Bombyx mori: one gene and its partner. The protein of the gene in region 1 interacts with the protein of each later gene in a pairwise test. Links are inferred from orthologs where the notes say so. Each region holds a gene or a part of one and is shown on either strand. Other genes may lie near its edges.

The links.
Region 2: the proteins of serine/threonine-protein phosphatase 4 catalytic subunit (region 1) and immunoglobulin-binding protein 1 interact in binary tests that used the Caenorhabditis elegans proteins (3 or more experiments, as listed by UniProt). The link is inferred for Bombyx mori from reciprocal best matches to the Caenorhabditis elegans genes pph-4.1 and ppfr-4.

Annotation. Positions count from the first base shown.
Region 1 is NC_085122.1:4,600,612-4,603,140, forward strand, and holds part of serine/threonine-protein phosphatase 4 catalytic subunit, read right to left. Parts: intron 1,993-2,529; coding exon 1,811-1,992; intron 1,124-1,810; coding exon 934-1,123; intron 313-933; coding exon 183-312; 3' UTR 1-182. UniProt on the Caenorhabditis elegans protein: Protein phosphatase which plays an essential role in meiosis and in early embryonic mitosis.
Region 2 is NC_085111.1:1,744,969-1,749,395, forward strand, and holds the start of immunoglobulin-binding protein 1, read right to left. Parts: upstream 3,024-4,427; 5' UTR 2,914-3,023; coding exon 2,788-2,913; intron 2,191-2,787; coding exon 1,982-2,190; intron 1,332-1,981; coding exon 1,214-1,331; intron 726-1,213; coding exon 500-725; intron 1-499. UniProt on the Caenorhabditis elegans protein: Probable regulatory subunit of serine/threonine-protein phosphatase PP4 which may play a role in meiosis and embryonic mitosis.

The DNA of each region.
Region 1 (2,529 bases):
CATTTTCCTTCCAATAATGCATAAGACAAATCACTTGTTCACAAACATAGTCACATCATTAACACTTGCCAGTCTTGAAATCACAAAAACAAATCTCTACATTAAAATTGTTTCGTCACTATATATATTATATTAAACCGAAATACAAGTTGTTCGTTTCAATTGTCTATCTTACAGGAACATTATAAGAAGTATTCGGCTAGGGGTTTCTTTGATGGTACTCCTCGAGATTCCTGCGGTGCTGCCTCGAATATTGTGAATTCACGTTGAAGATTTTCGTTTAACTCTAATATAGCAGCTACGTTTCCGCATCTGAATCAGAGAAGGAAAAACAGTGTGATTAGTGAGCACATACAGGTAACAAAAGATTTAATTTTCGAGTACAGTAATACATTAATATCTGCACACAATGCTGTATCCAGAAAATTTAAAGGCTATAATTTATGAGATTCCTTTATTTGGGGTGACAGTTTTCGGAGCTTAAGGTTATGAAGAGAGTACCGTCACCCACCTTGAGAAGATGAGGTCAAAATCTCAATTGACTTATAATAACTCTTATCGCTGTCCTAATCTTAAGCCTGGAAGTGAAATGGTCAAAATGGTCAAAATGGTGAAAATGACCTGTGATCTAACACACTCCCTAACACCAGTATTCAATATTTATCGCTTTAATTGTACTGAATAATGATATTAATTTTAAAATGAGTCTATTAAGTTTACTGAATTAAAATTACTTTTACAGTTCGATTTCATGTTTTGCATGGTCCCTAAATATTTATGATTGTTATATTTTCATGGTAAAGGATGACCGAGTGAGTTGTCACTGACATTTTGTCAGTGCCAAAGAAAACTATGTAGTTATCAAAACCTTGAGAATAATATGATACACTGAATTTAGGCAAGAATCTGTGGTCTTTTGTCGACAATAAATACCTGTAACAATAATTAGGTGCAGACCATACAGTCAACACGGTCTCGTTGAAATGCCATTTGTAGCCCTCCATGACAAGCTGATGAGCTCGACAGATCATATCAATATCATTTGACACGTTGAATTGAGCGACTACATCTGAGCCAAAGAGATAGCCAGCTCCTCTTGGTGAAACACCCCAACCTTGTGTATCTGCAATAGATAAAACCATAATCTCAGTTCTTTAGGTAAAGAAGATTAAAAATATTTAGAATTAGATTTTAGTTAACTAGCCCAAGGATCATAATAATAATTCTTTCTTTACATGTCACCATTTTATTTCCCCTCCATATTAATCCCCAGAATATAATAATAACTACAAACCGAAGATACAAGGAAAATACTGTCATGAAAATTTATGATCGTTTTCCTCTTTTGAGTTTATGGGTTAATTTATTTTTATCACAGAATGTCATCTGTTCATCCTTCACCATCGAAGTAAATGTTTTGCAGTTACCTGCCAGAGGAATTGTACTCAGATGCGGTTGCATTGCTTGATCAAAGTTGATTGCATGATTTACCAATTACATCACTAGGCACTGATCACATTATGTAACTTTAGGTAAGGTGGATTTTCACAAATGTTCTTGGTTCTATTCTATATTCTAGTTCAGGATACAAACATCCATACAAATATTTTAAATGTGAAAGTGTTTGTTTGCCTTTTTTTACGTCGCCAACGAAACAATGCATTCACATGATTTTTTAAGGTCAGGAGTATGACATAGGCCACTTTCTAACCAGAAAAACATGTTTGTCCCAGGGGAAACTATACTGGCACTTTTCCTTAATCACGCGGACGAATCCAAGAGTGACAGCTAATCATTGTTTCATATTTACCTTCAGGATCACTCCACAACAAGTCACACATTGGTCCGTCGTGAGGAACTTCCTGCTTTCGATCAATAGTACGAATCTGATCTAGGGTGTGTATCGACGGACTTAGACCGCCGTGTACGCAGAATATCCTTCCATCGATAATGGCTGACAGTGATAAATAGTCAAATATTTCTGTACAGTATCTGGAATAAATAGCATTTTTCCTCTATAGATAGATAGATTTTTAAGAGTTGATTGTCAACAAAGAAATCTGAGCATGGATTTGAAATCAGAGATAATAGAATCATAATTAGAAAAAAATCTTTTAATGAGTTTTAGTCTAAAATGTAAAGTAGTTCTTTCCACTAACAAAATCAGTACAGGGATCTTATTAGGAGATTCTTGCCCACAAAAAAAGGCTAGCTACATTCACATCATCTTGTCAATTGTTATTGTGTGAATAGAAAGCATGATTTTGCTCATGAAAAGGGTTGTTTTTCTTTTCAAAAGATGTGTGAACAAACACTTCTTCACAGCATTTCTAAGTGCACACCTGCTCTTAAGTGATTACTGTAGCCAATACACATCAGAAAGTACATGTCACCATTCACCTTGATATATGAAATGTAAATATCAATAGCATAATTTAATGGCCATATTACTATTCTAACCTACCTGTGTGGACTAACATGACGTCCTAACACTAGTAATTGTGCAGTTTATTACTTTTGCAGGTTTGA
Region 2 (4,427 bases), on another chromosome or scaffold:
GCATGGTAAATACATATATGTTTTTTTTTTTTATTGCTTACTGGAGCCCATAGACATCCACAACGTAAGTGCGTTACCTACCTTGTGATATAAGTTCTAAGGTCTCACGTATAGTTACAACGGCTGCCCCACCCTTCAAACCGAAACGCATTACTGCTTCACAGCAGAAATAGGCAGGGTGGTGGTACCCACCCGCGCGGACTCACAAGAGGTCCTACCACCAGTAATTACACAAATTATAATTTTGCGGGTTTCATTTTTATTACACGATGCTATTCCTTCACCGTGGAAATCAATCGTGAACATTTGCTGAGTACGTATTTCATTAGAAAAATGGTACCCGCCTGAGATTCGAACACTGGTGCATCGCTCAACACGAATGCACCGGACGTCTTATCCGTTAGGCCACGACGACTTCAAATCAGTACTACTAATATATTACAATATAATATTGTACAATTGTAAATTATGCCTTTTCTCACAAAAAAAAAAATTTTACCTTCACCAGAACAACTAATCATTTCCAGTATAGGTTTCTCCCGTTCAATACTGCTAAGTTCATCCAAGACCTCATTGACGTAGCTATGTAACATCGTCAGAAAATACTCTCTTTTAACTTCGTCATCAACAATGGGTGATGACATAGCTTTTGACAATGTACCGAGTTTCTCTTTTAACTCTTTTGCTTCTTTGTATCGTTTTATTTTAGTTTCTCTACTTTGAACCTGAAATAAAAAATTACATTTACTTTACAAAGTAATTAAAGATAACACTTGCTGGCACATGACTCGTATGTACTGCTGTACTCATCAGTTTGATAATTACTATCAGGACAATCAGAATATTTTTTACATACTTTATTTATTATATAATCACACCTGCCTTCACTTGAAACAATATGATAACTAGATAACTGTGGATGTGATGATGGATTGTGGATGTGATGATGGATTGTGGATAGATGGATCTACAAACTGGAATACATACACATAAGTCCAATGATTGCAAAGTTATTTACAATGTAGTTGAAGTTGGAATTTAATGATATCACCAACTAAAGAAAATATGCCAAAAATACTGAATTCTATTTACTACATTTATTGGAAGTCTTGACAAGATCCCGATGACAGATTTTTTTAAATAACCAACTTTGAACTAACTTGCTTAAAAATCTGACCTTTCATTTCATAAGTATAAAGGACAATAATATTACCATTGCAGCTATTATATCTTGCTGGCTCTGTGGTCTAGATGAGGAACTGTTGCTATCACTTAATTGTGGGATCTCCACGTCTGTGACCCCATAGTCTTTGCATCTTTGAAGAAAATCTCTGTGAACGAAACAGTAATTTACTAAAAATAATATCAGCAGACAAAATTCTGATCTTTTACATGCTTTTATTGCATCTTTTAAATGCTTGTTTTACTCAAATGCCACTGCAATCTTACTGCCCAATTAGTTAATATGTAATATAAGAATACACTACTCCAAGGCTGCATCATTCATTGATGTTAATATTATTTGTTAACCAGCATTAGATAAATGAGCAAACAAAGCAGACCTATAATTAAATAGTAACTGGAACCTACTGGCAACACTAGGAAATGAAAGCACTAAAAATCTTGAGACTTGCAATTAAGCTATAATATTAGTGGCAAATCTCCTATCTACCGTTCAAACTGAAAACATGATTTCAGAGATAAACAGGATCATAACATTTAAATCTTCAATTGAATATCACAACATGTAAACCCTAGCCTCAAAATAAACTGGGAAAAACTCAGTAGGCTTATATCAGCTATAAGCCTAATATCTATAAGCTAATTCGTAATAGATGCCAATCAAAAACATTTAGCTAATTCTGTTATGGTGGTAGAGAGCCCTAGATTGTTTTCCAGCATCAGACATAATGAAAATAAGCAATGTGTACCAGATTGATGAACCTAAGCTTATGGTATTAAAGAATATAAATTGGATTACTTGAAATATATTTCCGCTACTTCGATAATATCTTTTCTGGACGGTCTGCAAATTTTCAACGTTAGGGTGCCAAGTAATGCAGGTAATAGCATGTACTTTAATGTTTCTGTAGGCAGCTCTTCCAACTTTTCATTTTTACTGAACATTCCAGAAAGTGACACTAGTTTCGTGGCCTTCTCGAACTTGGATATTGCAGTTTTTATGGTTACCTGTTATTTGTGATAATATTTAAAGCATTTCTAAATTTACATTTAATAGTTTCCATTCATATTTTTATTTTATTTTTATTGTAGTAGTAATTGAAATATGAATATATTATTTATTATAATAATAATAATGTTTTTATTTCAAGTATCCATGACTCATATAAATTGTTAATAAGACTTAGACCTATGTTAGTAGTTATATTTACATCACAATGAATTACTGTGGTAACATCCCATGGGAGATGGCACCACAGCGACCCATGTATATACAGTCCAGCCTGCTTGCGATCATGCTCAGGATACTGTTGGAGCTGGCCCTCACTCTGTTTACCAGAGATGCACACCTCTTACGCATGGTAGCGTAAAAACAATCTATGTGCGCGTCTGCAAACATCCCGGATGCGCTACAAAAGCGGGGCAGCACCACCAGCACCCTAAACGCGTTATTGTATTGAACACGGAGAGCATTGTACGATCTTTGAGTATATCCAGTCATTATGAATTTATTATAAATATATTTGTGATATAATATATATCACAAAATTTCATTACAACAATAAATATAATGTAGTCGGTTAAATATAAACAGCTCTAACCTACCTGAACACTGTCGCTATTCATAGGTTCTTTGACTGTTTCTACAGTTGTATACAATTTCATTCCTTGATCGAATATATTGCTCAAGGAATCTTCTAATATATCTTGCTCTGTATCAACTTCAGCCATTCCGGTTTATTTTAGTTTTCTTTACCAAATAAAATCGGCACTAAAACAATCAACAATTGTCACAATCTGATACTGACACTGACGTCTGACAACAGTGACACGTGACAGTGGGAAACAGTACCGTAAAATGGGGCGATTAGGGACAAATTCCAACTTTATGAGCAATTTTAAGGTAGTTGTTGATGTATATAATGCTATATCAGGATCAAAATGATTGAGTCTTGGGGGCATCTTTGTTGTCTAATTGAAAATTATGCAACTAGCGTTCCAGTTTAAGCAAAAAATGCAAAAATAGGTGTAATCCCTATTTACCCGAAAATTGCGGTTAATTGGGACGAAATGAGAAATTTGCTAGGGTTGGCACTACTTTTATTTTTATATAGAGTTTTAATTAATTTATTTATTTAGTTGCACCAACAAAGTGATCATCAATAAAAAAAATTGAAAAACTGACAAAAGTACATGGCAGACATCACCTCAATTATAGGTGCAATCGACAGTGCTGATATTTCTATCTGGGTTAAGAGATTAGGTGTGTCGGTTATTCCATGGATTAATCAGATGAATACCCCTACTCCGAACAAATATTAAATATTTTATTATGTATTACTTAGACATTTTTGTCCACCTTGAGATTTCATTGATCTTGTTACATGTCTCTGCAAAATCGACTTACTTATATTAAATTGCTTATCTATTTCAACTAAAGACTTATTCCCAATTTCGCTTCGAATAAACCAGATTTTTACCAACAAATTTAAAAAATATTGTTATATCTACATAGACAACCCTACAAACCTGTACCTATTTATACTTAGGTCGTTTCCATTTCACGTATTCTCATCCCAATTGACCTCTTTTTCGTTGTTATTTGTACCTAAGACGTCCCCAATATCCCCAAAAACAACAGATTTTTACATGTATTTTTATTTAATCAAATACATTAAAACCAATAACAACTGAGACTTACCTTTAATATATATGCTGGTTCAAACACTAAATAACGTTTATAAATCATAGTCGTCTTCTATTATTATCAAATAAATCAAAGAGAGCAAAGTTTCTAGCACTAAAATAATTACCACCACAGGAAGTTAATTTGAAACGCGATTTTTTATAAGTTAGTAGCTATTATCATGCATGTTCAGAGTTGTTTTGTGAACTTTCAACATTCTACTATTAAACTACAAAAAATGGAAGATTTTGCAACGAATATAAAACTTATATTGAGCGTCGAAAGATTTTCCCGGTTTTTTCCCGATTCGCCTCTCAATCCCTAATCGCCCCATTTTACCGGTAAATTATGTTAATTAATTTGCTTTGTTTAATTCGTCAGGCAAAGAAAACATCGCTTTTACAAATAAGTCTGAAGATTGAAATGTTGGACTCAAATCTTTGTAGCAAAAATATATTGAAACAAAGTGAAATTAACCTCTTCGTAAAATGTTGGCAAATGACCAATATTTCATTGGTAATTTGGTATTTTTTTAAAAAAAAACGAGTGCACGTGTCCT